Linked DNA regions of Canis lupus familiaris. The protein of the gene in region 1 purifies or fractionates together with the protein of each later gene. This does not show direct contact. Links are inferred from orthologs where the notes say so. Each region holds a gene or a part of one and is shown in the gene's direction. Other genes may lie near its edges. The genes, in order: U2SURP and SNRPA1.

What was found.
Region 2: the proteins of U2SURP (region 1) and SNRPA1 purify together in Homo sapiens (affinity purification with mass spectrometry; 5 studies listed by BioGRID and IntAct, with this or other methods). This does not show direct contact. The link is inferred for Canis lupus familiaris from reciprocal best matches to the Homo sapiens genes U2SURP and SNRPA1.

What each region holds. Positions count from the first base shown.
Region 1 is NC_049244.1:39,144,798-39,160,644, forward strand, and holds part of U2SURP (U2 snRNP-associated SURP motif-containing protein), read left to right. Parts: intron 1-979; coding exon 980-1,078; intron 1,079-2,861; coding exon 2,862-2,976; intron 2,977-3,439; coding exon 3,440-3,573; intron 3,574-6,388; coding exon 6,389-6,456; intron 6,457-7,036; coding exon 7,037-7,131; intron 7,132-7,215; coding exon 7,216-7,251; intron 7,252-7,341; coding exon 7,342-7,424; intron 7,425-8,392; coding exon 8,393-8,558; intron 8,559-8,965; coding exon 8,966-9,177; intron 9,178-10,108; coding exon 10,109-10,152; intron 10,153-13,236; coding exon 13,237-13,341; intron 13,342-14,420; coding exon 14,421-14,487; intron 14,488-14,564; coding exon 14,565-14,728; intron 14,729-15,847.
Region 2 is NC_049224.1:40,135,750-40,152,180, forward strand, and holds the start of SNRPA1 (U2 small nuclear ribonucleoprotein A'), read left to right. Parts: upstream 1-5,424; 5' UTR 5,425-5,528; coding exon 5,529-5,610; exon of another isoform or gene 5,611-6,127; intron 6,128-7,417; coding exon 7,418-7,565; intron 7,566-9,544; coding exon 9,545-9,623; intron 9,624-13,151; coding exon 13,152-13,198; intron 13,199-13,447; coding exon 13,448-13,550; intron 13,551-14,183; coding exon 14,184-14,263; intron 14,264-14,681; coding exon 14,682-14,757; intron 14,758-15,438; coding exon 15,439-15,532; intron 15,533-16,431. UniProt on the Homo sapiens protein: Involved in pre-mRNA splicing as component of the spliceosome. Associated with sn-RNP U2, where it contributes to the binding of stem loop IV of U2 snRNA.

The sequences.
Region 1 (15,847 bases):
ATTGATAAAGTCTAAATTTTAATTAGTTAAATTAAATTTAGGTGGGCAAGAGTGAAACTTGCTGACCTCAATTACAGATTAACATTTTAGGTTGTATTTAACAGACATTACTTTCTTTAAGGTTATGAATCAAAATCTAACATTTAAATGAATAACTGAACAATTAAAGATCTATAGATGATTTTACTTCTGCTGAAACCTGAAATACAGTTATAATGTTCATAAACATCAGTATTACTGATGAAAAATGAGTTAATCTGCTGAATTATAAAAGGAAGTGATGTGATTTGTAGGACCTGAAGTGAAGGTTATAGATGGTATTTAGATTCCTGCTACTGAACTTTGGAAATATATGCTGCCTCTTCCCTATTTGAATGTCTGTTTTCCATCACTGCTTTTTTTGCCTGGAACCATCTGTACTTTTTCTCAAGTGCTTTTATTCTTGCTGTGGGCAAGTAGGTTGAATGAGTTCTAAGCCTTTAGCATCTCTTTCTCTCTCTCTCTCTCTCTTTTTTTTTTTTTAAATATTTATTTATTTATTTATGATAGAGAAAGAGAGAGGCAGAGACACAGGAGGAGGGAGAAGCAGGCCCCATGCCAGGAGCTTGACGTGGGACTCGATCCCGAGACTCCAGGATCGCGCCCTGGGCCAAAGGCAGGCGCTAAACCGCTGAGCCACCCAGGGATTTCCGCCCCCCCCCCTTTTTTTTTTACCTTTTTAAAAGAAAATGGCTTTTGTATGTTATTAACCTTTAGCTAGCAAATGAAGACATTCTTTAAGAAATACTTACATGAGAATCAAGCCCAAGGTAGGCACTTCAGAATAGCTTAAGAATGCTTAAGAATAGCCTCAGCTTTTCTGCTTTACTGTGAAATTTCTTTTTAAAAGTCCTCTAATCTGAAGAGTTGGTTACCAGTTGAGTTATAGATAGCATTAAGAATGTGTGTGTAAAGGTATGCTTTTTACTTCTTTTTATAGCCTCTTCTCGAAAACAAACTTAAAGCATTCAGTATTGGAAAAATGAGTACAGCTAAGCGAACCTTAAGTAAGAAGGAACAAGAAGAGTTAAAGAAAAAGGTAATGTTTATATTTTGAGTTATCCTTGGAAATGGTGTCAAAGTAAGGCAGGGGGTGTAGAGAAATACTTTTCAAAGATTCTTGAACGGGGTATTCTCAGCTCCCACCACCAAGTCAACTCTGTAACACAAGGTACGTTTAGAAGAGTCCTGTTTGTATCCCTGTCCCCTCCATGGCTTCTTCTGTGTAAGACTTGGTTATTTTCTGGTCTATTCTTTTTGATAAGCAAGTGTGTGTAAAAATATATTGTATTCCTTTTTCTCAGATGATCAGTAATATGCTATATACAGTGTACTTTTCTCCATCTTGCTTTTTTCACTTAACATTGTATCTCAGAGATTACTGCAGGTATAATTGAAATGTTCCTTTGTTTTTTTAAATAGCTGTGTAGAGACATACAGTACTTATTTACTAATACTCTGTTGGGCATTTTTGTTTTGGTCTTTTGCCATTACAAATAATGCTATTAATGGATAGTGTTATGCATATAGTTTCTTTGTTAGTTTATCTTTGGGATATATACCTGTAAGTGAGATTACTGGGTTGAATGGTAAATGCATAAATGTAGCTCTGTTGAATATTGACAAATTGCTCTCTATAAAGCCAGGGCCATTTTCCACCTACTCTCAGTAATGTATGAGAGGTTGTTTACCTATAGCCTTACCAACAGAGGATGTTTTTAAAGTTTTGCCAGTTGGCTCAGTAAAAAATAGTATCTCAATGTAGTTTTAAATTTACATTTCTCTTGTAAGTAAGGTTGAACAGCTTTTGTGTTTCTGTGAGCTAGCTGTCTGCGTATATCTAACCCAGTCTTTCTAGAAATTATTGGGTTATCTCTGTTTTTAGAAACTTTGTATATTAAATATATTAACACTTGGTCTATGACACAAGGTGCAGTGTTTTTTCCCAGTCTGTCGATTGTTTTTTTATTTTGCTGCTTGTGTTTTTTTCCATGCAGAAATTGTTTATTGTTATACAACTTTCCTTAAGATTTCTAGTTTTCAGTGTTTTTCTTTCTTGGAGCTTGTAAAGAAATTTCCTCATGTTTTTTGTAATACTTTAATAGTTTCACTTAAAAAAAAGTTAAATCTGGTTCATTTGCAGTTTTTCCTTGGTATATGATGTGGAGAACTGGTTCATTTTTATTTTTATTTTTTCAAATAGTTATCAAGTTATCCCAACATCATTGAAAAGTTGATCTATTCTCCATTGATTTGAGATGCTCCTTTTATTGAATACTAAATTTCCTAGTGTTGTTGGACTTACTTCTCTATTTTCTGTTCTGTTCCATTGGCCTTTTATGCATACATGTTTTGGGTACATTGAGAAGAATTATAATTGAAATTGTCCAGGTTCTTTTTGAGCTTTTTTCCTAATGCCAACTGTAGGGTTATTGCTGCTTCAACTTCTAATACTTATGTCTTTCATGGTTTCTGAGGGAAATCTTTATAATAACTAAATTGTCATGCTTTGAAAATGTCAAAAACATGGAGTTACATGTTTTATATGGTTAGTTGTCATACAGTTTGACTTTTGATGTCTCTAAACAAATTTACTTACTGGGTCCTTTACTGGTTTCATAAATTGCCAGTAGAGGATCAAAGTCTCCCTTAGTTTCAGTGTTAATTTGTATCTAATATCTACTAAACATTAGATATTATTAACTATTAGGTTTTCCTAGTGAAGGGAAAGGTTTTATTTACATTATTCCCTAATGAGTTTCACCCCGTGTACAATAGTAATTTTCATCTTAAGTGATATTAATATCTTCATGTGTATTTAGGAAGATGAAAAGGCAGCTGCTGAGATTTATGAGGAATTTCTTGCTGCTTTTGAAGGAAGTGATGGTAATAAAGTGAAGACATTTGTGCGTGGAGGTGTGGTTAATGCAGCTAAAGGTTAGTGTCAATATTATAATCCTTGAACAAAACCAAAAATTCTTGGTAGAATGACTGTAGGCAATTATGAAAGATGTTTGGTGTCTTTTGAATTTCACATTTCTTTTTTATCAGCACCCTCTAGTGTTGATATTACTCATTAATTAGCAGAATAAATGGCCAGATGTGGATTAACGAGAAATTGGAGCCAGATAAATTTTAAAAATATTTAGTACCTTTCAGTGTTGAATATAGCAGAGCACTTTGCAAAAATTTTAATATATTTCATAGTTTTACTATAAAATGATTAAATTAGTATTTTTGAGAGCAAGGTCGTAGGTAATGTGAATTTAATTTCATATTATATCTTAGTGCTAAAAGCATTTTACTAATTTCTGTTCATTTTCAAATAAAAAATAATAAAACTCCAAATAATAAATTATTTTTGAAAATTAGTTTTGAAACTTAGTGTTTTAAATTTCAGAAGAACATGAAACAGATGAAAAAAGAGGTAAAATTTATAAACCATCTTCAAGATTTGCAGATCAAAAAAATCCTCCAAATCAGTCATCCAATGAAAGACCACCGTCTCTTCTTGTGATAGAAACCAAAAAACCTGTAAGTCATAATTAAATAGGTGACTATTTATGTTCAGAGATCATACTGCCAATGATATTTTAGTACTTCCACTGTAAGCAGGACTTTGGTTTCTTGTTTTTAATTATTTTGGGAGTAGATGTTGAGTTTTGGTGTTTAATCTTCCTAGAGAAGAGTTCATAAATTAGAGTAGGGCATGTAGGCAATATTCTTCTTATATTCTTTGAGCAGTGAACCTTTGGTGTTATACTAAGAGTATACTGCAAGTAAAATGTTGACTATAGGTATAAATATAAAATAACGGGTTTGTCTTTTTAAGTAATCCTGAACTGAAATAATACCAACATGTGTAGTGGCAGTTACCTTGGAAGACTTATACGTATTCCAATAATGTATCTTTAGCCTAGGCACATTTTTGAATTTTATTTGGAATTACTATGAGCTAGTGGCACTTTCTTTTAAATATTCTCAGTGTTAGAAGATTTTTTATTTTTTGATGGTGGGATTTTTCATGGGGGTCAGAAGATAGATGTGGGTCATGTCATTTGGAGCCTCACTGGTGAAGGAATATGATTACATTGAATGATGAGATTCACTTCTCTAGTGTGACTTGGAAAATAGCTCTGAAAGCAATGGAAAAAAAAAAACAGTTTTATTGAGATGTAATTCACATTACCATTTATAAAGTATACAGTTATTTTTTAAAGTGTATTCACAGTTGTGCAGCAATCACTAATCTCTAATTTCAGTACATTTTTATTTCCCCAGAAAGAAACCTTATACCTATTTTTAGTCACCCCTTACCCCTGGCAGACACTAATCTACTTTTTGTCTGTATGAAATTTGCCTGTTTGAGACATTTCATGCAGATGGAATCATACAACATGTGGCTTTTTGTTTCTGGCTTCTTTACTTAGCATAATATTTCAAGGTCCATCTGTATTCTGGCACATTAGTACTGCATTCTTTTTTATAGTTGAATAATATTCTGTTTTATGGATATAACACATACTGTTTATCTGTGTATCACTTGACATTTGGGTTGTCTCCACTTTTTTGCCATTATGGATAATGTTGCTATAAACGTTTGTACGTAGGCTTTTTTTTGTGGACTTATGTATTTAGTTCTCTTATATATACCTAGGAGTGGAATTGCTAGGTCATATGGTAATTAATTTGTTTAACCTTTTAAGAAACTGCCAAAACTTTTTCAAATTAGCTATACCATTTTATAGTCTCATCAGCGTCATATGAGTGTTCTAATTTTTATACATCTTTACCAACACTTGTTAAAATTCTCTATTTTTAAAATTTTAGTCATCTCAGTGAGTGTGAAGTTGTACCTAATTGTGGCTTTGTTTTGCACTTCCCTAATGATGTTGAGCATCTTTTTATGTTTATATCATCCATTTGTAGTCTTCTGTGGAGAAATGTCTTTCAGATCCTTGACCCATTTTTTAATTGGGCGATTTGTTGTCTTTTTATTATTAAGCTGTAAAAGTATTATATGCTTCCTGAAGTCAAGTCTTTTATCAGCTATTTGATTTGCACACGTTTTCTCCCATTCTGTGATTTGTCTTTGTCCTTTATTGATAGTGTCATTTGAAGCACAAAAGTTGGTTTTTTTTTTTTTTTTTTAAGATTTTATTTATTTATTCATGATAGACACAGAGGGAGGGTGGTGGGCAGAGACACAGGCAGAGAGAGAAGCAGGCTCCATGCAGGAAGCCTGATGCAGGATTCAATCCTGGGACTCCAGGATCACGCTGTGGGCCAAAGGCAGGCCCACCCAGGGCCACCCAAGGTGGCTACCCAGCCACCCTGAAGCACAAAAGTTTTTAATTGTTTTTTTTTTTTTTTTCAAAAGTTTTTAATTGTAATGAAAGTGAGTTTATCAGTTTTATTTTTATGTCACTTGTGCTTTTAATGTCATATCTAAGAAACTATTGCCTCAAAATCCTGAAGATTTATTCCTGTGTTTTTCTCTTTGAGTTTTATAGTTTTAGTGCTTAAATTTAGGTATTTGAGTCATTTGAGTTAATCTTTGTGTGTGGTGAGAAGAAGAGTTCCAACCCCAGTTTCTTCTTGCATGTGGATATTCGATGGTTCTCACACTTTTTGTGAAAATAGGCTATTTCTTCCCCCTTAAATTATTTTGGCACTTTTAAGAGAGCGATTTCAAAAGCAGTTTTATTTATTTATTTTTAGATTTTTAAAGAAGATTTTATTTATTCACAAAAGACAAAGAAAGAGGCAAAGATATAGGCAGAGAGAGAAGCAGGCTCCCTGTGGGAAGCCTGATATGGAACTCAATCCCGGGACTCTGGGATCAGGACCTGAGCTGAAGGCAGATGCTCCACCACTGAGCCACCCAGGTGCCCCTCAAAAGTAGTTTTTAAAGAGGAATTCCAAAGATGTTACTGATTATTTCAATAATTCGTAGTCCTCTTAAGGTGACTGTTTTGAAGAGCGTATTTTTGGTAGTTGCTCATGGTGGTTACTTGGCAGTTCAATTCCTTTATGTTCATTAGTTTTGCCCCCTGATTCCCTCTAACAATATTCAGGCCTAAGTATCACAGGCTTTTGGGAGATAAAGTTTGTGGCTGCTTTACTTTAAGACTGCTGCATGTCATTTTCTTTAATTGCTTTAATAATCAAATTGTTAAATTCTTAGTTCGAGAGAACAGGAAGGAAATGCAGTGAGAACAGAAGCATTCATTTTAATTTGAACATAATTGGCACTAAAATAAAAATTATTTAAAATGATCTGATTATTGAACCATTAGTTTTGTTTAACCATTTTTGTTTGAAGTATAACTTGTCATATCCTTCATAGCCACTGAAGAAAGGGGAGAAAGAAAAGAAAAAAAGCAATTTGGAACTCTTCAAAGAAGAATTGAAACAGTAAGTTTTATAGTATGGAGAATGGTTATCATAGGTATATTGAGCCGATACTTAGAGAAGCAGGTATGGAGAAGCAGGTATAGTGTACCAGTTAGCTATCACTAACTCCCTTACCTATGGTGAAGTTGCTTTAGATATTAGTGATTTTTTTAGGGTGTTTTTGAAAATGTATTAGCATGTCATCCAGCATCTAGATTGGTAACAAAATATGGATGCAATTCAATTGATTTATCTAATGTCCGGAGTCCTGTTTGCAGTGGAAACAATGTAGTCACTGAGGTAGGGGTGAGGAGTGAGCAAACTTAACCAAGAAAGGACAGATTCAGTGGTTTTAATGTTGAATTTGCTCCTCACCTTAGAAGTGGGTTTTGTATTCTAATGCTTGCATGACATATCAGAAATTTGCTCATGACTAATAGCTGAGGGACTTTCTTTCTAATCTCGGTTGTTAGTGCTGGCATTTAATTACTTACAAATATTTCAAGTTATATGAACATGGTACCTGGATAACTTATATTCTTAATAACTGTGAATGAACAACTTTTGGCTCATTATTAGTGATAACAAATGTTTTCAACAGAATTCAGGAAGAGCGTGATGAGAGACATAAGACAAAAGGCAGGTTAAGCCGATTTGAGCCTCCTCAGTCAGATTCTGATGGTCAGCGTCGTTCTAGTAAGTGGCATTTATTTTAATGTTTATATTTGTGATTAACTATTCTAAAAAACTAAGAACTGTTTTCTTTTCCTTCCTTTAAAGTGGATGCGCCTTCCAGAAGAAATAGATCATCTGGTGGTAATACAGTTTTTTGCTTTTTTAATTAATAGAAATTGTCCAAATTTTGTAGTTTGCAGGTTATAATTCTTTTCCCCCTCTTTGTCCTAGTTCTTGATGATTATGCACCTGGCTCACATGATGTAGGAGATCCAAGCACTACTAATTTATATCTTGGAAACATTAATCCACAGGTAATATTAGAAAAGTTAGATGAACATTGGCTCATATTTTTTATAATTATGGAAGAAAACTGCCTTGTCAATGAAAAAATAAAATCAAGCACCTGAAGTAAGCAGACTTGATGGAACTTCAGAAACTATAGAAGTCTCTAAAATTATCTTATAAAATTGAGGCTTGTTGATATGGCTGAACTGTCTTGCCACAGTGCTTATCTCGTCTTTCTCTGACTAGACTGTCTGAATTTGAAATGTCTTACTGTGTACTGATTTTTTTTTATTTATCAAATCATGATCTGTGGTGGACAGTGCTCTTTTGAGACTACCTTATGCATAGCTTGCTTCCTTAATGATATCCTTTTTCTTTTTTCTTTTCACGATAGCAAACTAGTAATTTGTGCTTCTTCTTAATTCTTTTCCTCACTTCAGCGTTACTTGTGTTATGAAGAATGTAGTGGTAGTTATCCATAATATGCTCTTTTAAATTATGTATGTTTTGGACCTCATTGTGTATTTACTCTTTTCTCTCTTCTTGATAATGTTGGGTATTGGAAAAAGAGAAAGTGATCAGATCTTTTTTTTTGCTTTCATTACCAACATATATTTTTTACTTGTCTTAAATGTGATAATCACTGTTGCCTGATAAACGTTGCTAAATGCAAAAACAAACCAGTGCCGAAGAACAGCTTATTTTAAATATGCAAGATCTCAAAAGGAACAGGAGGAGAGCTAGATAGAGGTGTACTTTTGATTTATTTAGCCACCAAGCCTCCTCACCCTGAACACTTGTGTTTCTGGTATGAAAAGATTTGTGAATGTCACCTGAGGGCAAGATTTTACTGTATAGAGGTCCTGGTGCTTCAGTGGAAAATTGTAGCATTGATATGTCTCACTGTTCATTTTGTAAACATTTGCTTGCTTTTGGATAGAATTTCCCCCTTTTATTTGCATACCAAAAAAACCCCTCATATGCTTTTTAATAGATGAATGAAGAAATGCTTTGTCAAGAATTTGGAAGATTTGGACCCTTAGCCAGTGTGAAAATTATGTGGCCTAGAACTGATGAAGAAAGAGCAAGAGAGAGAAATTGTGGCTTTGTGGCTTTTATGAATAGAAGAGATGCTGAAAGAGCTTTAAAAAATTTAAATGGTAAGAAAGTTTTTATTGTCTACTATAGAATTCACTTTTTTTCCTGGCTCTGAAAAGTATTTATAAAAACTCGGGGTGGGGGGGGGCAGCCTTGGGGGCTCAGCAGTTTAGCGCCACCTTCAGCCCAGGATGTGATTCTGGAGACGCGGGATCTAGTCCCATGTCGGGCTCCCTGCATGGAGCCTACTTCTCCCTCTGCCTCTCTCTCTCTCTCTCTCTCTCTCTCTCTCTCTCTCTGTGTGTCTCTCATGAATGAATAAATAAAATCTTTAAAACAAACAAACAAAACACCTCTAGGGGGAAAATGGACCAGAACTGGAAAGGTTAAACATGAAAAATAATTCAAATTAACAGAAATTTTTTCTTTTGAGAGTTAACCAGGGTGACCTTTCTTTTCTTTTTTGTAGGAAAGATGATTATGTCTTTTGAAATGAAGTTAGGTTGGGGTAAAGCTGTGCCTATTCCTCCACATCCAATATACATTCCGCCTTCTATGATGGAACATACACTTCCCCCACCTCCATCAGGACTGCCTTTTAATGCGCAGCCTAGAGAGAGGTTAAAAAACCCCAATGCTCCAATGTTACCGCCACCTAAAAACAAGGAGGATTTTGAGAAGGTAATTTAAAAAATGTACATAGGGCCGCATCTTAATTTGTAAATACTAAATCTGTGGTAGTCTTTCTTTTCAATAATTTTATAGAAAGTGTGTGTGTAATTCTGTTTGACAACTCTGAAAGAAATAAGTAGATGTGTTCCCTGCCTTAGCCCATGGAAACCCTATATTGAAATACTAGGTCATATTTTTATTTGTGGCTACCATTCCTTTTTTGACCACTTAAGTTTTTTTCCCTTTTGTCCACTGTTGTATCCAGGTTTGCTTAAGTGCAGTATCTAAATTTACTTTGTTCTGAGAAAGTGATATTTTGTATTTGGTTAAGTGACTTTTCAATTAGAAAAACCTAAATAGTTAAACTGTTTGGATGGCTGCTAGCTAACTTAGTTCTCAGGATCTGAGATGTTAGAGTATTTGAGAGCGTATGTGGTTTTTTAAAACAGTTAACTGCTCTAGTTAAAAGCAAAGGGTGAGTATTTTCTTTTTATTAAACATAAAACCAACTTAATTTCAAGTTTATAAGAATTTGTTGGTTCTATTATGAAATAATTACACTTAAAATGACAGGGCTGGTTTTAAAGGCTTGGGAACAAAGTAGCAAACTGTATGGTCAGAGGCAAACAGTTAATTATTTCACAAATTAAAATCTTTATCTGATAATTCTCGGTGTAGTACCTATTTCAGTGCATTGATGTGCATTCTGGCAGGAATGTTCTGATTCTTTGCATTTGGTGAACAGTTATTGTTCACTGAACACATCCATTTGCATTTATGTAATTGCTTAGTGTATAATTACTTCAAATGCAGTGATTGCCTGCAAAACTTTGTGATTAGATGTGTAGTGTTTTCAATGCATTATGTATATTTTTGCTTGTTACTTGTTAACAATACTCACATATTCTATGTTTATTATCTGATGTGACTTCATATACAGACTCTGTCGCAAGCCATAGTCAAAGTGGTTATCCCAACAGAAAGGTACATGTTTTTCTTTATTATTACTGATCTAAATATAGACAATATCCCCTTCTGAATTAAAAAAAAACTGGTGTTGAGGAAAAGGTAATATCTTGACTGAGCAATGGTTCCTTCCCAGTACTTTTTTGGGGGGATATGTGACTAACTCTAGTATACTTTGCAATTTTATGTCATTATCTTTTTGTTTTTATTGTTGTCAAAGTAGGGAATTTTATAGCTTTAGTAGTTAGAATGTGTTTGATTTAATCTGGAGTTGTTAGCCTGATAATATTAGACTATTGTGATGGGAAAATAGGTGTTTTAATGTATCTTAAATTGCATATAATGTTACAATTTGACCCAATCTGTTTTTTTTCTCTTGGTTCCTGAATTACTGTGTTTAATATGCAACCTTAGTTTGAGTTCTCCTTATGGAAGGGCATAGCTTTGGTTTTTTCTAATTGATTAGGAATTCCTATTATTTTCATGAACACTGAACATACTAGAAATTTTTTTCGTGGTAACAAAGGTGTTTGGAATTCTTTTATTTTCCTTTCTTCCTTTTTTTCTTTTTCAACATAATGATAAAGCAGAAGAATTCATGCTCTAGGTATGCTCTTGCTCAGTCAAGCTAAGCCTTTTCCCAAACACAGGAACACAACACTGGTTGAATAATAAATGAACACAAAAGAATACCAAATTCTCTTTGACATTGGCCTTGGTGAGCAACACCAGCTGAACTGTCTGCGGCAGCGGGGGACCAGGAAAACATCATGGGATGGATTGGGAAAGTATACAGTTTTTGACCAGACATTGGTACGATCGACTCCAATAAATGTGGTTTTATTATAACTAGAGACAATTTTTTGGTTTTTTTTTTTTTTTGTTATTGTTGCCCAGAGTAAGATAATTGCCATTTTAAAATAAAATAATGCACTTTAAAATATATCATCTTTTTGTACTACACTGTTTCATTCTGATAGAAAAGTCACCCTTTTAAAAATGATGTTAAATACACAATCTTTAAATAAAAATGTGATTACAATTCTTTAATAATCTTGAATTCAAGCTAGTAACAACTAATTGTCAGATTTTGATTTTAAATAATCACATGAAACATTTTAAAACTTTTAAACTTTAAATTTTCTAAAAATACATTTTACCAGTTTACAAGCCTGTTTAAAACTATAGTGGGTTATTTTTCCACTGATAAAGCATTCAGAGGAAAGTATTTTTGTAGCATTCAAAAAGCATATTCCAGTAGTAGCTTTACAGTGGTTCAGCTTATTTCTAAACTAAAATTTGAGTATACATTTTGTTGAAGCTTCTTAACTCACCATTACAGTGAATCCTTTGTTTAAACTTGCTAAACCATTTTTCATTTATAATATTCAAGTCAAGTTGCATTTGACTTAATTCATACAAGTTTCTGGATGTATAGTATTTGTCCCCCAGTAATTGATTTTATATATTACGATATTCGCATAAAATATCCCTTCACTTGAATTTGACATATACCAGCAGGAGTTTTGGAACTGAATCATAAGTTTACATTATCTCCCTTCTCTCAAAATAATATACCTATATGGGTGCTGAGAATACATTCTCATTTGGATATCAAGAGCTGCATATTTGCAGAATAATTAATACTTCTGTGAAAGACAAGTAATTTTTAGATATAAAATTCAGTGATGCTTTTTTGTTTGTTTTAACAATTTGAGGTTGAATTAATAGTTTTAAATATTAGTTTCCCCTTTATTAAAGATTTAAACTTTCGTATAATTTTTTTGACCTAGTGGAGGTCAAAAAAATTAAATTTTTTCACCATATAGAGATTTTAGTGTTCATTTAAGTAGGTTGGTTTGAATTGTGAGAAAATAATTACAGTGACCATGAGATAAATTATTTTATTGTTTATGTACTCTGAAGCAGGGCATTATAGAGCCAAAAAAATCTGTCTTATTCTATAACTACATATCTATTTATATTCTAGCAATTACATGAACTTAATTTGAGCTGGGAATGCTAAAGGTGTAATTTAGTGTGTGCCTTGTACCAAGAGCCAATATCCTTTTGCTTTTCCCAATTACCATTTGCTTACTCTATATGCTGGGGACTGGTGAAGTGAGAAGTCAAAAGCAGCTTATAATAAGCTGAGTCATTTTTGCTAGATGCTGTAATCAATGTCTAAAATAGTGTTTTATGTCACATGATTTTAGAACCTAGATTTTCAAAATAAAGATTTTCTTATGAACCCAGCCAATAAAATGACTACTAAAAAATTGAAGTTTCTTTTTGGCTTAAATATTGGAAAGTAATTGTTCTGAAAAATGGGAAAGGCATCTCACCATGTCCCTTATTTTGGAATATTTTGGAAAGAGGACTCCATTTAAGGCTTTGGCAATATAATTGCTTCATTGAGTCATAATATTCAGGCAGAATTATACATGTCATGAGTTGTATGAACCATTTGAAGTGTGATCCAAAGGGATGTTGCCTCATTAAAGGTCAGATTCAATAAAAACTCTGTCTGCTGTATGTGTACCAGAAAAGCACTAGAGTTGGATGGATTTTTTATTAAATCAGGCCTTAAACTTGTTAATTAGTTTTGCATTTTTTACAAATTATAGTCATGTATATAACATTTCAATACCACCACAAAAGTGCTTGGTTTAGGAATATTTTCTTTTAAAACTGAGATAGTGTGTAAGTTTTTAGATGGCTATGATAACATGTAAGCTGTAAGTTTACTGATTTTATATATTTGCAGCTTTCCAATTAGTTGTGATTCATAATTTAATGTTTTGCATTTGGAAAATAAAATTAAGTGGCATTTAGAAAAAAATATTTATTGCTATGAAGCTGTGTTGTGGTTTCCCACCTTCCCTTCACCTTTCCTTCCCCTCCCACTCCCTTATCCCCATTGTCCCACTCCCTCTTAATGCACAAGGCATTAACATATGCTCCAGGTTATTTTTTGGCATAAAATTTTGTATTAGTCAGCAGAATAATCTTTTTCTGCACATTTATAGTAACTTAGGTCAAGTATAGTTTTATATAGTGGTAGGTCTGAATCCATTTTCTTTAACTGTGTTGTTGTTGTAGGAATTTGCTCGCCCTGATACATCGAATGATAGAGTTTGTTGTACGTGAAGGGCCAATGTTTGAAGCTATGATTATGAACAGAGAAATCAACAATCCTATGTTCAGGTGTGCATTTTTTTTATTGTGGTAAAATATACAAATAATAGAAAATGTACCATTTTTGCCATTTTTAACATGTACAGTTGAGTGACATCAAGTGCGTTCACATTTTCGTGCAAACCGTCACCACTATCTCTAGAAATTTTCTCATCTCCCATGACTGACATTGTACCCCTTGTACAGTAACTCTATATCCTGGGTCTTCCAGCCTCTGGTAGCCACCATTCTACTTTGTCTCTTTGAATTTATTTACTCTAGTTAACTCATATAAGTGGAATCATTCAGTCCTTGTACTTTGAGACTCACTTCATTAAGCAGATCTTCAAGATTTGTCCATGTCGAAGCATGTATCAGAATTTCTTTACCTTTTAAAGCTGAATCTAGTCCATTGCATGTATTTACCACGTTTTTTATCCTCAGGTGTGCACTTAAAAAATACTTTTAACTTATTTTTTGGAATTAAAAATATTTCCAAGAATAAAGTTCTAAAAGTGTGTGATGATTTTTGCAATGGGTTGAGAAGGTAGTTTTAGTAATTAGACTGGATGTACTTGGGTCAGTTTTCCATCTGATTTTAATTTAGGTTAATTAAATAACATTGGTTTTAGCAGTCTCTGGGAGGAAAATACTACTCTTTATGTTTTCCAGTGAAAGAGTTCTTCATAGTAGAACAATAGAGCTTTATAGAAAATTGCTTATCTTCTGATAGGTATGGTATCTAAGACATTTATTTAACACTCCTAAGTCTTCTAAAACCCGCTCCTTTTGAAATTTCTGTTTTGGGAAAATCCATTGCCATATATAATACCTGACATAAGTGTTCAATAAAATTGGTTGTAAGACTCAGTAAGATGCATACATACCTTCTGAGAACTAATGTTCATCACAAAGGCAGTCTGGGGGCTAGGGTGAAGAAGGGAATAGATGGCAGAAGGCAGTGGGTGAGGATTTCTTTTAGGGATCTTTGCTTTTGGTTTTATTTAAAATGAAATAGGCAAATAATATTTCTCATTTGTTTACATTTAATTGAAGACATTTCTTTGTTAAAGTGTATGATGTTTAATTTTTTGTTTGTTTTGTTTTAGATTCTTATTTGAAAACCAGACACCAGCCCATGTTTACTATAGGTGGAAGCTTTATTCTATTCTGCAGGTAAGTGGAATCAAAACTTTGTTAACTTTAGCTCTGAGATATTTTGCCTTTCTAATAACATTCTGGACATTTATTAGGGAGATTCTCCAACTAAGTGGCGGACAGAAGATTTTCGTATGTTCAAAAATGGGTCTTTCTGGAGGCCACCACCATTAAATCCATACCTGCATGGGATGTCAGAAGAGCAAGAAACAGAAGCTTTTGTAGAGGAGCCCAGTAAAAAGGGAGCACTTAAGGAAGAGTAAGAATTTTTTCTTTTCCTGTTACATATTCAGAAAAGTTGCTTTAATAATCGCTTTAATTAATGGTCTTACTGAGATGTTAGCCCTAAAATAAAATGTTTTTTCTTTTACTTGTGTGAATGATTAAAATATTAACATTTCTCATCATGTGCTATGTAATTTGAAATGTCCTGGCAAGTATAAGTGTGTGTCCTTTTGACCTTTTTCTCTCCTTTTGATAAAAAACCTTCTAAACCTCTCATCGGTTGGTGGTGATCTCTTAGCAATGATTCTCTAGCAGTGAAGTATTTGTGATTCTTACAGAAATTATCTTGGGACCTTTAGAATTCTTGGCTCTCTGAATGCAACATTAAAGAAGAAAAAATTACTGTAGAGCTTTGTGAAGTCTGATGGTTGGTTATGCAGTCTTTCCACAAGAGTTTGCAGTGTGTGGCCACCATGAAAACATATTTGTTAGTCTTCAGTTCAGTCAGCATGGGTACAGTGAAGTTAGTCTGGTTTAAGAAGCAGAAACAAGTACTATTAAGTATTAAGAGGAAGTTCTGTATGCTTCATGGGAAAAAATCGGCTAAAAGATTGTGGCGTATGCTCTGAATACTAGCTGCATTGATGCATTGTTTGTAAAAGCATTTGCTAATGCAGAGCTATATGTATTTGAAACATATTTGCTTCTGAAGAGGTATTTTCATCATTACTTTTGCCCAGGGATCTGCAAACTCATCCTGTATGTTAAATCTGGCTGTCTCATGTTTTTGTAAACAGACTTATTGGAGCACAATCATGATCCCCCCTACCCCCTTTATATGTTGTCTATGGCTTTTTTCATGTTAATAGCAGTGGAATCAGGTAACTACAAGAGAGACTATATGACCTGTAAAGCCTAAAATATATACTGTATGATCCTTTACCAAGTTTGCCAGCACCTGCTTTAGCCTGTTCTATTTCAGAAGTGCTAAAGTAACTGACTTCAAAAGAGAGTGAAGAACATGGAGGCCTTTTTTTTTCCCCCCACTGTAATGGGGTAATAGGACTGGGACACTCTCAAACATTCTTGAAACAAATGCCCATAATTTAAAATTTACTTTATTTGTAAACTAAAAATCACTGGAATCCTTTAT
Region 2 (16,431 bases), on another chromosome or scaffold:
CTGAGGTTTCCTCACATTTCCATTCAGATCATGCATCTTGGACAGGAATCTCCCAGAAGTGATGCTGTGTTCTTCCAATCCCATTCTAGTAAGTGAATCATTTTTTTTTCTTTTTTTTTCTTTTTTTTAGTAAGTGAATCATGATTTTGATATGTTCCCATTATCGGTGATACTAACACTGATCACTTGATTAGGGTTCTCCTCCCCACCTCTCCTCACCCCAGCCTGTTAAGGATGTCTGCTTCTAGCATTGCCCACAACATCATGCTGAAGATCCCAGCCAGTGAAACTACACAAAAAATAAAGAAAAGACTGATATAGGGCAGCCTGGGTGGCTCAGCGGTTTAGCGCCACCTTCAGCCCAGGGCATGATCCTGGAGATCCAGGATCGAGTTCCATGTCGGGCTCCCTGTACGGAGTCGGCTTCTCCCTCTGCCTGTGTCTCTGCCTCTCTTTTTCTGTGTGTGTCTCTCATGAAAAATAAATAAAATCTTAAAAAAAGAAAAGACTAATATAAAAATTGGAAAGAAATAAAACTATCATTATTCTCAGCATGGTATGTACACAGAAAACCCAAAAGAATGGTTATGAATCATTAGAATTAATATGTGAGTTTAGTAAAATTGCTGGATACAATGTTAGTATTAACTGTATTTTTTTTTTTAAATTTTATTTATTTATGATAGTCACAGAGAGAGACAGAGACATAGGCAGAGGGAGAAGCAGGCTCCATGCAAGGAGCCTGACATGGGATTCGATCCCGGGTCTCCAGGATCGCGCCCCGGGCCAAAGGCAGGCGCCAAACCGCTGCGCCACCCAGGGATCCCTATTAACTGTATTTCAACTAGAAATTGTTGAAATTGTATTTCAGTGTCTCACATTGAATAATTAGAACATGGGATTTGTTTTTTTGTTTGTTTGTTTGTTTTGTTTTGTTTTTTTTCAGTTTCTGGTGCTTCTTTAGCTTTTTGATGTTTATAACAGCAGCAAAAACTATTATATACCTAGGTCTAATAAAAGATGGATAAGACCTCTACATACACACAAAAAAACTATAAAACACTATAAGAAATTAAAATCTAAATTCATGTAACGTTATACCATGTTCATGGATTGGAATACTCAATACTGTAAAGATATTAATTCTCCAAACTTATCTACAAATCCAATATAATATAAATCAAAGCATGTGTTCTTTCCTGGATGCAAAATTGACCTAAAATGTATACTAAAAAGCAAAGGACAAGAACAACCAAGACTTGAGGATCTTTAAAAAAAAAAGGTGTAAGCCTTTTTAAAGGCAAATATCAAGTTTTTTTTTTTTTTTTAAAGATTTTATGTATTTATTCATGAGAGACACACAGAGAGAGGCAGAGATACAGGCAGAGGGAGAAACAGGCTCCCTGCAAGGAGCCCGATGTGGGACTTGATCCTGGATCCCAGGATCATGCCCTGAGCCAAAGGCAGATGCTCAACTGCTGAGCCACCCAGGTGTCCCAAATACCAAGTTTTTAAGTGACAGTACGATATTATGCCAGAATAAGCAACCAAACCCATGGACTAGAATAGCTAGTCCAGAAGCAGACCTTCACATATTTGGACACTTAATTTTTGAAAAAAGTTACTGCAGAACAGTGGGTAAGGGTTGGTCTTTTCAATAAATGATACTGAATCAAATGAATATCCATATGGGGAAAAAAGATATCTTGATCCCTACCCCAGACCATACACAAATGTCTATTCCAGACATACTGCAAATCCAAATGTGAAAGGTGAAACAACAAAACTTTTAGAAGAAAATATTCATGAGTTGGGGGTGGGCAAATTTCTTAAAGAGGACTAAAAAGAACATGAACTACATAAGGAAAAGTTCATAAATTATACATTAAAATTAAGAACTTCCAGGAATGCCTGGGTGGCTCAGTCAAAGCATCTGCCTTTGACTCTGGTCATGATCCCAGGACCCAGGGATCAAGCCCCATGTTGGACTCCCTGCTCAGAGGGGAGCCTGCTTCTCCTCCTCCCTCTGCCGCTCCCCCTGTTTGTGCTCTCTCCTTCTGTTAAGTAAATAAAGAATTTAAAAAAAAATTAAGAACTTCTGTTCATCAAAAGACACCATTAAGAAAAGGCAAGTCACAGAGAGGGGGAACATATTCACTACACATATATCTTACGAGAACTCATATCCAAAAAATATAAAAATCTGCAAATCAGCAAAAAGAACAGCCCAATAGAAAAATGTGCAAAACACTTAAACAGACATTTCAAATAGCAGTGATCTAAATGGACAATATTTTTTTTTAAAGTTCTCAATTGTGTTAGTACTTAAGAAAATACAATTAAAACCACAATGCAATACCATTGCTGACCCACCAGAATAGCCAAAATTAAAAAGACAGACACTATCAAATGTTAATGAGTGTAAATTAGTACAACCACTTAGGATAACTAGTAAGAATCAACTTAAGGTGAATGTAAGTTAACCCTATGATCCAGCAAATCCATTTCCATGTATGTATTAGCATATGTATTCATAGGTGCTGTATTCATAGGTGCACTATTATAATAGGTGTACTATTTTTAATTGTTCAAACTGGAAATTACCCAAATGTTCATCAACAGCAGAATGGATAAATTGGAATATTCACACAACAAAATACTATATAACAATGAAAATAAGTTAACTACAACTAACACAATGTTAAGCAAGAGATACATAAGGCACAATTTTATTTGCATAAATATAAAATTAAGCAAAACCAATCTATGCAAGACGTGGTTACCACTAGGGCAAGAGTGTGACTAAAAGGACAAGAAGGGAGTTTCTCAAATGTGGCAATGTCCTGTTCTTGATCCGGATGCCAGTTACTTGGGTGTGCTTGGTTTGCCTTCTGCTGTGAGTATATCATAATTCAATAAAAATTTCAAAAGGAATGAATTCTGGGGGATGGTAGAGCTACGTGTGAAAGGTAAAACAATTAAGCCTCCAGTAGACAACAGCAACAAAATATTTGGGGGCACATGTACAGACATACAACCCTCTAACCAGAAAGGAAAAGATGAATTGAATTACATAAAAATTAGAAACTTCCAGTCATCAAACAATACCATTAAGAGTGGAAAGGCCAGGCAGCCTGGGGTGGCTCAGAGGTTTAGCGCCGCCTTCAGCCCAGGACCTGATCCTGGAGTCGCAGGATCGAGTCCCACGTCGGGCTCCCTGCACGGAGTCTGCTTCTCCCTCTGCCTGTGTCTCTGCCTCTCTGTCTCTCTCTAGGTCTCTCATGAATAAATAAATAAAATCTTAAAAAAAAAAAAAGAGTGGAAAGGCCTGTAAGCAGAAAAATTTTTTCTGTCCCAGACTACATGACCACAGTGAAACTTTGTCCCAACAAAAGAGGACAAAAGATAGTCAATGCGTAGGGCTTTCTGAGCTAAGCTTTTCCTCTGAGAACTCCTCTTGAACTGGACCATTTGAAACCTTGTTCTCACTGCAAAATGGGTTGAGGAAGCTACTTTAGTAGCCTTTTGATTTGAATTGCAGCCAGATTATGATTTGGTGATCTAGGGAATAGGATGTTATCCTAAACAGAACATAATGGACTATAATTTGTGTTTGCTGCATTGATGACTTGTACAAGGACAGTATTTCTGGTCTCTGCAAATTCTTTTGTATTTAAGCAGTTTTAACCAAAAGAAAAAAAAAAAGTGCAAAAGGAGGCCTCAGAGTGTGCTCACATCCAGCATACATAAAGAAATCCCATTAATCAATAAAAAAAAGTCAGACAATCCAGTAAGAAAAGAAAACGGACCACAGACTTGAATGGGCACTTTGCAAAAGATACCTGAATAGACACCATACATGACAAGGTCCTCAACTTCATTAGTTATTAGAGACAAGCTAATCAAAACAATAGTGCAACACATCCATAAGAATCCCCATAATTATTTTTTATACTAATATTATTTGTTTTTATTATTATTATTTTATTTTTTAAAGACTTTATTTATTCATGAGAGACACACACACAGAGAGGCAGAGACACAGGCAGAGGGAGAAGCAGGCTCCATTCAGGGAGCCTGATGTGGGACCTGATCCTGGGTCTCCAGGATCTCGTCCTGGGCTGAAGGCGGCGCTAAACCGCTGAGCCACCAGGGCTGCCCTACTATTATTTGAAAGAGAATTTGCATGCACAGGGAGGAGCAGAGGGAGAGGGAGAGAGAATCCCAAGCAGGCTCCTGGCTGAGCCCAATGGTCGTGCTCCATTCCACTACCCGAGATCATGACCTGAGCAGAAATCCAGAGTCCCACGCTTAGCCAACTGGGCCACCCATGCACCCCAGTCCCCACAGTTATACTGGCAATACTAAAGGGGCTGAGGTTGGAAGTGATGGAAACCCTCTTGCACACAGCTAGAGTATGTATATTAGTATTATTTCAGCCTCTTGGCCTGTTAGGCATTACTTATTGATGATAGTATACCCTATGCCCAGAAGCTCTACTCCTGGAGAAACTTGGACACGTGTGCATTGGATCCACGTACAACAAAAATGCATAGCGGTATTCGGAACAGCCCCACGACAAAACGATCCTAATGTCCATCAACAGCAGAATGGCTAAATTGTGGTCTGAGATATACCATGGGATTCTGCACAGCAGCGAAAAGTAAACAAACCATTGCTGGATGCAACCTGGGACGGATTCCAGTTATAACACAAAACCAAAGACACCAGGCACGGGAGCACGCTGCGTGACTCTATTTGTATCAAAAGCAAGCAAAAACTAATCTGTGGTGTTGGGATTCCTGGTTGCCTTTGGGAAGGGATGGAGGCTTTCGGAAAAGTGTTCTTTTTTCTGGACCCGGAGGCAGCAACGCAGGTGCGCTCCCTCTGCGGGTATTCTTCACGTTGCAGATTCCTGGTTTGCGCACTCTTCTGTATCCCGTGCTTCTGTTAAATATTTAAATACCTGGAGGTCACAAGCCTAACCGAAAACTGAACTGTGCGCGGGGCAGGGTCGGGCGCGCTAGGTGGTAAGACGATCCCAGCGGGGCGGGCTGTGATCGACCCTGCCCTGGTGGGGCGGGAATCCTGAAGTCCTGAACCTTTCACTGGATCCCCCGGGTGCCCGTCCCTCCTGGGTGGGGCGAGGGCAGACACAGCGTTTCCTCCCGCCTCAAAATGCATTGATGCATGAGAAAGTTCTATTCGGGTGCGATTACATTTTGCTTAACTTGCGGACAAGAGCATCATCAGGAATCAGGGGCCCTCCTTCAAGCACGCCCCAAGGAAAAACCCAGAACCCGAGACACGTTCCGCGCGCTCCAGCAGCTCCGCAGACGACGAGATCGTGGGCGTTGCTCACGATCGATTACTTCGGCCTGGGTGCCGAGCGGCGCGCGCATGCGCCGGCTGCGATTGGTGAGGCCTGGCGGCGGGGCGCGGGGTACGCCGGGAAGTCTGGCGGGCGGGAGGCGGCGGGAAGCAGCCGGTGGGCCGCGGCACCGGCAGCGGCAGCGGGAGGCAGCAGGATGGTGAAGCTGACGGCGGAGCTGATCGAGCAGGCGGCTCAGTACACCAACGCCGTGCGGGACCGCGAGCTGGATCTCCGGGGTGAGTCTCGAGGAGTGGGTGGGCCTTCGCGCCCAGCCGCGTGCTCGGAGGGCCGGCGCTTGGCCCGCGGGCCTGCCTTGTGGGCGCCGAGCCGGACTGTGGCAGCACCGCCCGGGGCTGCGTCTTCCCGGTGCTGCCAGAGACCATCCCTAGGCCCTTCTGAGCCTTGGGTTACCCTCGTTCCTACTCACACGCCCAGCCAGTAGATCGCTTCCTGGTCCACAGCCGAGGGCCTCAGGCAGGCCTTGCTTGGCGTAGTTCTCAGTCTCAACTATTTGAGAGCTGGCAAGTTGTTCGTGCTGGTAACGCTAGTGCGCAGCGGCTGGTTGGTTCTTCGTAAATACGTTCAGGTGTTACTGTGGGAGCGTAAGTAAGAGAACGTGTTACCTGTAATTTGCGAGGGGGGAAATGACGTCGGAGAACAAAAGCGATTGCTTCCGCAAGATTTCTTCCCTCTTCCCTTCAGTTGTCCCATATTTCTCTTTTATCAAAGCATTTGAGGGGCACCTGGGTGGTTCGGTCGGTTAAGTGTCTTTGATCCCCAGGGGTCCTAGGATCCAGCCCCGCATTGGGCTCCCTGCTCCGAGGGGAGCCTGCTTCTCCCTCTTTCTCTGCCCGCTGCTCTCCCTGCTTGTGCCATCTCTCTCTCTCTCTCTCTCTCTCTCTCTGAAATCAATAAGTAAAATACTGAAAGAAAAAAAAAAGGTTTTAAAGAGGCTTGCAGTACAAGTTCCCTGTGTAAGGCGGTAGAAGCTCTGAACTATTCAAATTCACGTAGCCATTTCAACCTTAGTAAAGGCTTGGTGGGAAATTGGGAGTGCAGCTGTCTAATCAGCATATCAAGGAAATGACTCTAGGAATGATGTGAAGAGCAGTTTCTCTGGGAATACAATTTGGGCCTGAGATTTGGCTCCACAGAAGAACACCGTCTGAGGTGCAGCACTGTTGTGGGCTTTGCCTTAAGCTTGGATTCCTTGCTGACAAAGCCAGACTGCTTTCATTTTGTTGAAATTAAGTGTCGCTCTCTTGGCGAAGATTGATCTTTAACCATCTAAGCGTGAAGTGCATCGAGTGTTGAGGCTACTTGTTTTGATATAGCGTTTGCTTTGCTACAACCCTTGTTGCTCTGAATTATGTACTTTAACCTTGGCTTGGATTCGTTTCTTTCTTCCGCCAGCACCTAGCACAGTAGTTATGCCCATTTAAGACAAACTCGTGAGGGTTTGGTGAATTGTTCACAGGGTGATGTATTATTGTGTATAAACTGTTGACCTTCAACTCTGAATTGGAGCTGGGGGAAGTGTACAGTAAGGGAGAACTGTCATGAGATCACAAGGATATCCTGGTAAGTTTTATGTATCTGGCCTGTGGGAATGCAAACAGAGTCAAGAGCTGTTGTCCACAATGTATGAACAAGACTTGGACGCTGACAAAAAAGCAGCTTACAATGTAAATTCTCATTATGCCATTTACCTATTTCTGGAGCTTTGGTTATAACAGCGTGAGGGACCTTAAAAAATACTCCTGCAAATGTTAGCTACCAATATTACTATTAATAAGTGTCGGGTGTTGTCATGACTGACTTCATGTCCACTCCTAGACTGTGGCAGTGGGCCATCTGATCCTTGTTCCTCATTTTATGTGCCAGATACTTGCACAGTGTTTGGCACAGCACAGGTACCAGGTAAACACTTTCTAAATAAATGGAAGCTTTGAGTCAAATTACCATGAAGTACTGCTAAGGTTTTAAGGTATCGTTTAGCCATATCAATACTTGTGTATTTTTTTTTTTCCTTCTACTTTGCAGGGTATAAAATTCCTGTCATTGAAAATCTGGGTGCTACCTTAGACCAGTTTGATGCTATTGATTTTTCTGACAATGAAATCAGGAAACTGGATGGTTTTCCTTTGTTGAGAAGGCTGAAAACATTATTAGTGAACAACAATAGAATATGGTAAGTGTCTGCTAGTGGAGAGTAATTCTCCCCCCGCCCCCCAGAGTAAATATTGCAGCATTCCCTGAAGAAGCCATAGTACATATACTGCCAGTTGAGCCTACGTATTCTTATTTATTTATTTATTTATTTATTTATTAAGATTTTATTTACTTATTCAAGAGAGACTTGGAGAGAGAGGCAGAGACACAACACAGGCAGAGGGAGAAGCAGGCTCCATGCAGGGAGCCCCATGCAGGACTCCATCACGGGTCTCCAGGATCACACCCTGGGCTGTAGGCAGCGCTAAACTGCTGGGCCAGTGGGGCTGACCTATGTATGTCTTTTTTTTTTTTTTTTTTAATGTATTTCTTTTTAAAATGAGAAACAAGCTACACTTTTGCCATATAGGCCCATAGATTAACTTGGTAATGGTCTTGTTTTTATTTGCATTTGTTCAGAAATACTTATATATTCATGGTAATAGATATTTAAATTGCAAATATTCTGTTTTGTGCATATTTTGGCTTCTAAAACTAATTGTAATTATCAGAGGGATTATATTTAGAAGATATGTAAAGTTCAACAATTTTATATAGATAGATAGACTGATTTATTTTAGGGAATGAAAGCCCATGCCTGAGAGCAGGGAGTGGTGCAAAGAGAGAGAAATCCTCAAGCAGCTTCCCCACTGAGTGTAAACCTCCTTGTGGGGCTCTGTTGCAGCACCCTGAGATCGAGACCTGGGCCAAAATCAAGAGTCAGGCGCTTAACTGACTGAGCCACCCTGGCACCCCCAACAGTTATATTTTTGGCTGAATGAATGTCTCTAACTCACACCCTCTGCCATTTGTTTTTCTTTACAACTGATGTTTAGAATTTTACATATATATATATATATATATATATATATATATATATATTTAAGATTTTTATTTATTTATTTATTCATAGACACAGAGAGAGAGAGAGAGGCACAGGCAGAGGGAGAGGCAAGGCTCCTCACCGGGAGCCTGACATGGGACTCGATCCCGGGACTCCAGGATTGCTCCCTGAGCCAAAGGCAGGCGCTAAACCGCTGAGCCACCCAGGGATCCCCAATCTCTGAGTAAATTCTATCAAAAAAAGTTGTTGAAAGTCAATAGACAATGTTTTTAAGAAGTATTAGGTAGTGACTTTCTTATTTTTTTATTTTTAAAGATTATTTATTTTAGAGAGAGCACACACATGCTCAGATGCAAGTGGAGGGAGGGAGGGACAAAAGGGGAGAATCCAAAGCTGACTCTCCAGTGAGCATGGAGCCTGGCACAGGGCTCCCTACCAAGACCCTGAGATCACAACCTGAGCCAAAATCAGGAGTCAGACACTCAACTGACTGAGGCACCTCAATGACTTGCTTTTTAAAAATGTCGTATTTCAGGGGTACCTGGGTGTCTCAGTGGTTGAGCATCTGCCTTTGGCTCAGGTCGTGATCCCAGGGTTCTGGGATCAAGTCCTATATCCAGCTCCCCACAGGGAGCCTGCTTCTCCCCCTGCCTGTGTCTTGGACTCTCTCTCTATCTCTCATGAATAAATAAAATCTTTAAAAAAATTTTTTCTTATGGATTTAACCATTCCCTGATGTAGTTGTTGTTTGTTGTGTACCTGAGGTGTGAATGCAGAGTCACTTGTACTTCTGTGCTACCTGCACAAAAGTTCTACACGGGAGTTTCTTCTTCTCTTAGCTTTCACTAGATAGTGTGGTGATGGAAGGAACCCCAGGCAACCCTTGGGAGGCGTAGGTTCTAAAATCACCCCACTTCCGCCACTAACCTTGTGACCCCAGACAAGGTTTTCCCTTTCATGCTTCATTTTCCCTGTCAAATAGGGTGGTGGAACAAAGATCTCTAAAGTTCTTTCACCTTTAGAGTCTGAAATCTTCTGTTCAAGGATTTAGATAAAATGGTTAGCTTACCTACTTTTTTTTTCACTTTTACAGAAGTCTTTTATTTTCATTTTAGCCGTATAGGTGAGGGACTTGATCAGGCTCTACCCTGTCTGACAGAACTCATTCTCACCAACAATAGTCTTGTGGAACTGGTAAGTCCAACCGGGTGAGGGGGGTGTATTTGGGGGAGGAATTAAAGGTGCTACTTGCCTCTTACAACTTAGAAAGTCCAGAAAGTTTTTTCATCATCCATCATCCTTTATCTTCTTAATTCAAGATCAGGGCCTCGTTCAGTTAAATAGCCTTTTCCACTCTGTAGCTCATCTTTTTTTTTTTTTCCTTTTTTTTTTTTTTTTTTTATGATTTTATTTATTCATGGAGACAGAGGCAGACACAGGCAGAGGGAGAAGCAGGCTCCATGCAGGGAGCCCTATGTGGGACTCGATCCTGGGTCTCCGGGATCCCGCCCTGGGCTGAAGGTGGTGCTAAACCACTGAGCCACCCAGGCTGCCCTTCCTTCGGATTCTTAAAGGAGTACTTAACTCCAAAAGTAAGAGAGCACTGACTGGTCAGGCTGTCTTTTCTAAAATATACCAGATTTTCAACCCAAAATGCACATTCAAAGGAAATGTGTGCCAGGATAGAGGCTGTATTTTTATGTATATTGTATTTATATTTAAAGCTGTTTGTAAAGATGAAGGCTGAGTTTGTGCTATCAGTTACTGGAAAAGGTGTGTTAAAGTCTCATACATTGGGACGCCTGGGTGGCTTGGCGGTTAAGTATCTGCCTTTGGCCCAGGGCATGATTCTGGAGTCCCGGGATCGAGTCCCATATTGGGCTCCCTGCATGGAGTCTGCTTCTCCCTCTGCCTGTGTCTCTGCTTATCTCTGTGTCTCTCATGAGTAAATAAATAAAATCTTAAAAAAAAAAAAAAAATCTCATACATCTTCCTGGATTTGACAGGGAGTTGTATTTTAGTAATGTATTTTGAAGTTCTCTTAGTTGATATACACAAATTTTAAATTGTTAATACCTTCCTGGTAAACTAACCTTTTTAATATTGTGTCGTGCTCCTCTTTATCTTTTTTAGTGATATTTTACCCTGTTTATTTTATCTGCTGTAATTACGCCCAAACAAGCTTTCTTTTATTTAGTATTTGTATATTTTTTTCTATCCGAAATTAACTTCAGGCTTTACTGTAACTTATGTTTTAGATTTATCTCTTGAAAACAGCGAATGATAAGATTGTTTTGTGAAATCCAGTGTGAAGTCTTTCTTTTAAATGAAGTATTTGGTCTGCTTACATTTAATTTAATTACTGGTGTATTTGAGTTTGTCTTCTCACTTTTTCTGGAGGTTATTGTTTGACCCACTCATCATTCATTTCTTTTTCTCTCTTTTACTGTGTTCACTCTGTGTGTGTGTGTGTGTGTGTGTGTGTGTGTCTCTGTGTGTGTCTCTCTGTCATTCTTTTCCTAAGAGTGTAGGAATTACTCATTCCTATTCTTAGTATTGTAGGAACTAAAATACGTATTTATTACAGTTTTGAGTTAACCAATACCTCTAGTTTCTTAAACAATAGTGACCTTAAACATTTCAAACCCCCCACATATTATTTACTTAATTCTGTCTTTAAGAAACCCATCAAGACACTGTTTTCCACAGTTTCTGTGTCTCTGTGTAACAAAAGTTGCCATTCGTTGTTCCTTTTTGTTTTGTTTTTTTGCAGCTTTACTGAAGTTTGAGTGATAAATAAAAATTGTATGTATTTAAGATGCAAAGTGTGATTTTGATAGATGTATAGTTTTGAAGTGGTCACTGTTACCAAACTCACATATTCATCACTCAAGTATTTACTTTTTTATTTGTAGGGTAAGAGTACTTGAGATCTATTATCAGCGAATTTCAAGTATACAGTAGTAAATAGTCCCCATGTCAAACAGAACTTACTTGTCTTATAACTGAAAGTTTGTACTCTGATCAGTAGCTCATTTCCCCTCCTCCCCCACACTTCAGCCTCTAGTAACCATTCTTTTTTTTTTTTTAATTTTTTAAAATATTTATTTATGATAGTCACACAGAGAGAGAGAGAGAAAGAGAGAGGCAGAGACATAGGCAGAGGGAGAAGCAGGCTCCATGCACCAGGAGCCCGACGTGGGATTTGATTCCGGGTCTCCAGGATGACGCCCTGGGCCAAAGGCAGGCACGCTAAATCACTGCGCCACCCAGGGTTCCCAGTAACCACCATTCAACTCCGTGTTGCTGAGAGTTGTTCGTTTTTCTTTAATTATTAGATTACACATACGAGTGAGATCATTCGATGTTTGTCTTTGTCTTCTTTTAGGTCATCTTGTGTATCCCTTTTAGGGGTGACATGCCAGTAGCATGCTCTAGAGCTCCCTCTGATGGTTGATTGTGAAGCCTTTAAAAATAGCAACCAGGGGCAGCCTTGGTGGCCCAGTAGTTTGGCGCTGCCTTCAGCCCAGGGTATGATCCTGGAGATTCTGCATCGGGCTCCCTGCATGGAGCCTGCTTCTCCCTCTGCCTGTGTCTCCGCCTCTTTCTCTCTCTCTCTCTCTCTCTCTCTCTCATGAATGAATAAACAAAATCTTAAAAAAAATAAAATAAAAATGGCAGACTATTTTCTGAACTCCTACTCTGTACCCCTGTACTTTTCTCTCATTATTCCTTTTGCCTTGTCCTCAATTTCAGTCTGGTCCTACCAGTCTATCCTCACTGTAGGGCTTTGTCCTGGAAAGGATACCATTTGTGTTTAGTACGAAGAATGAGGGCCAGAATTGCCCAGTTGCTTCAGGACTTAATGTACTCCTTATTGGAAGATACATAGCTATTGGCTGCTGTTCTCAGACTGAACTCTTGGTCATTTTGGGGTATTCACATTTGTCACAAGCCTTTCTGCTGTCCTGCTGTTGCTTCCTGTACAAATGCTGGCTCCCAAGCCAGTCTTGCAGCTCTCACAATGGTCTGTCTCTACCTGCTAGGATTCTTGCCAGAATGCCTTTTCGTCTAGGTTAATTGTAGTTGTTGACCATAGGCTTTTGGTTTTGCTATCCTTGTTGAGCTGTATCTTATGTGATAATTTGGAAAGAATCAAAAACTAACTTGCCTTTATCCCATAATTGTGTCCTTTTTCTTCCCCCTATACTCTTTGTCCTTGAATAATTATCTAAAGCAGTTTGAGGGAACCTTGAATAAAGGTGCCAGGCCTCAACGATGATATGCCTGTGTCACCACCAGGCATGTCCAGGTACTAGTGGTAAAAACCGCCTTACCCCAAGATCCAGTTTGAGGTTCCTTGTGTGAATAATTTGCTCTGAAGTCACATAAACTTTAATATATTTCTTTTCTAAATAATTCCTTTAAAGTCTAGCCCTTTTGAGCTTGCTACAGGACATATAATTTTTTTGAGGGGGAGGGGTCTCTTAATATTGAGACAGAAGCTGTTATGGCTAGGATTTTCAGTTTAAGAAGTTCAAATCTACTTAACAGTTTAGTCAGTAATTTACTAAGCATCGGTGATGTGCTAGTATTGTGCTAGGTGCTAGGGCATTAAAGAAATAAAAGATAGGAGTCCCTGTTCCAAAGGCATCTGCCATATCAGAGTATCAGAATAGCCTATGGTATTCATATTCTTACCTCTGGCCATTTCTTTTACAGGGTGACCTAGACCCTTTGGCATCTCTCAAATCACTGACTTACCTAAGGTATGGAAATGATCTGTGGTGGTGACAGTTAAGTCCTTTATAATAGCACCATTACCAGCCTTGATCTTAGAGCAAACAGTTAGTAAGAAGGACCTTTGAAAAACAAGGACTGAAAATGTGAAACCTCCCCAATGTGAATTTAATAACTCTGCAACATGACAAAATTGACTCATCTGATTCCATTAAAATGGACCTGTTGAATGCTGCACTGTGAGTAAGATTGGCATTATGTTATTCCTTTTCTTGTAGTATTCTGAGAAATCCTGTAACAAACAAGAAGCATTATAGACTGTATGTAATTTATAAAGTTCCGCAAGTCAGAGTACTGGATTTCCAGAAAGTGAAACTAAAAGTAAGTATTGTTCTGTGGGTTATAAGTCATTGTAGATTCGTGTGTTTCATTTTATACTTTTGTTACTGATTTTTTTTTAATTGCCTAATGAGTTTTCCTATTGGTTTGTAATAAAAATGTGGGAAGGAAAATGTTAAGTCCTTTATTTTTCATAGCAGAGTTTATATAGCAGGACTTTGAGTTAAAGCTGTCTTACATGGTAGTGTTGGTCATTCAGAGGTAGTACAATATCAGAGCAACCATGAGCACCATCAACAACAGATCGTTTAGATCCACTCCCCTGTGGGGACCTTAGTATAATCCATTTTTCAGCAGCTGTAATTGTTAGAATGATTTTCTCTTTACTAGGTGTGTTTTTGGTTTGTGTGTGGTTTGTGTTTTTTGTTTTTTCTTTTTAAACATTCTTAGTTCCTCCAGACCCCCTCCTCGAAACTAGGAGGGGGAGCTTTCTTCAGGGAGCTTTCACCAGAGAAGGCAAGGCCATTTGTCTCCTTTTAATTTGAAATTGGCTTTTTGGTATTTTTACCAGCCCCGAGTGTTTCAGGAGAGTTTCCTTCCATGTTTTCTGAGGAATGCATTTAAATGCATGTGGTATTCCTATTTCCATTAACTCTGTGTGTGGTGTTGCTGTAGGAGCGTCAGGAAGCAGAGAAAATGTTCAAGGGCAAACGGGGTGCACAACTTGCAAAGGATATTGCCAGGAGAAGCAAAACGTAAGATACAGATAATCCAACTTCACTCCACTTCACCTTCAGAAACACTATCTGTCTGGCTTTTTGCCCTCCTACAGAATTAAACAAAACACCTGTGACTAACACAGTATTGAATTCGTGTGATGATAGCCCCGTGACCATCACTGGTCCACACATCACATGAGATTTCCATCAGGTTAGCAAATACTTCCATGTTCAGTCTTAATGCGACATTGTATACTTCCTGCTTCTTCTCTATAGGAAGATGAACTGGGTGGTGTTTCTGAAGGAGGGAGTTTCTTGTATCAGTTTGTTAACAAAGATAAGATACTACACTGGTTGAATTACTTTCAAAAGCTTTTTTTGAAAGTAAAAGAGAAGCAGTTTCCCTTGTCTGGATTTAACAGTTGCATTCTTCCCTCTCCTTTCCCCTCCCAAGTTTCAATCCAGGTGCTGGTTTGCCAACTGACAAAAAGAAAGGTGGGCCATCTCCAGGGGATGTAGAAGCAATCAAGGTAATAACGGGTTAGGACTCTTGGACTGGAAAGAGTTGCCGTGGGTTTTAGGACATGAAATATGTAATTGACCAAATTCTAAACATTGTAGTGTCTTCCCCCACCCCACCCCACCCCACCCCACAACCCCACAAGAGTTAGGTTCCTGCTATGTTCCGTGTAAGGAAGGAACTAGCTTAAAGTTACTACCTGATTTTGACTTGAATTATTTACATGAGCCAGTCAAAGCAGAGGCAGCTCTGGTTCTTTGTCATTTTCCCAGGATCTATTTTTTTTTTTTTAAATAGTTAAATTACCTTAGCATGTTGTCTCAGTGTTTGCCTTAGCTTTTCAAAGATTTGCTGTCTGAAAGATCTGTTAGTTAATCATGGGAAATCCTAATTTCATAATACTGCTTCCTAGATTATCCAGTAACATAGTTCCAAAAAGGTGCTTTAATTCACTAAATTGTTAGGACATGTGCAATGATTATTTTCTCTCTTGTAAGAGGGTCCACATCCATCTACCAATTTGGGGAATTTATGATTTGGTTTGATTTCAACATGACGATAAAATTCTTACCCCAGCACAACTGTATAATAGTCCACCTCACAGAGTTGCCGTGGACTTCTGTAGGGTTTTCTGTGTGATTGACACTTAGATGCAATAAACTGGTCATGTCCATTGTTTTCTGTCCTCCAGAATGCTATAGCAAATGCGTCAACCCTGGCTGAGGTGGAGCGGCTGAAGGGCTTGCTACAGTCCGGTCAGATACCTGGCAGAGAACGCAGATCAGGTCAGGACATGACTTCCAAATAAATTAATGTTATACTTGAAGTGATTCCAAAACAGTTCAGATGCTATGACCCCAGAAATGCTTGCATCAACGTACACGAAATCCCTCTATATGCTCTTCAAAGAGAAGTTGTTTGATGTAGAATATTATGATATAGGACTCTGAGAGTTTTTGATGTAAAAGTTGAAACATACATTATTCCCCAGCCATGCAGTGAAACCGAACACTAGAGTAACCTTGTAGATTTGGACCCGTGTGTATGTGTGTCTGTGTGTAGGATAGATACCTTACTACTTGGAAACACAAGCTTCGGGGGCAAACAGCATGAAGCTCAGATCTTAGCCTCACCGGCTCTATCTTTAGGTGAATTTCTTCATCCTCACTTAATTTTAAGTCCATATCTTCATTTTAAATTTTGAAGTAACATATAGTAACAACTTCAAAAGGTTTTTGGGAGGATAAGTAAGACAGTTCATAGATAGCACTTACAACATTAGCCTAAATTTTCGGTAAGCGTTGGCTATTCTGATATTTGAAGGCCAACTTTGTGACAGGATGTTGGAGGTGTAAAGTAAAAACTACTCAACATAACACATAGTATAAGTTTTGATATGGATGTAACTGAGGGCTTCTACCTCGCCTGGCAACTCAGGGAAGGTTCCCTTGAGCAAATCATGTTTGAACGGAAGCAAAAAATGAGTAAGACATTAATTAGACCAGTGGTTCCCACTATGTAGCTCTTGAGCCTGCAGGCATCTCAGAGGTGAGAACTTTGTATAATGACACTAGTGTGTTACTTGCTTTTTCCCCCATTACTGACATTTGCAATGCTGGTGCAGGAGTAGTGGTGGGTAAAATTGCTGGTGTCTTGGCACAGGTCAAAGCAGTGGCCCAAAGGA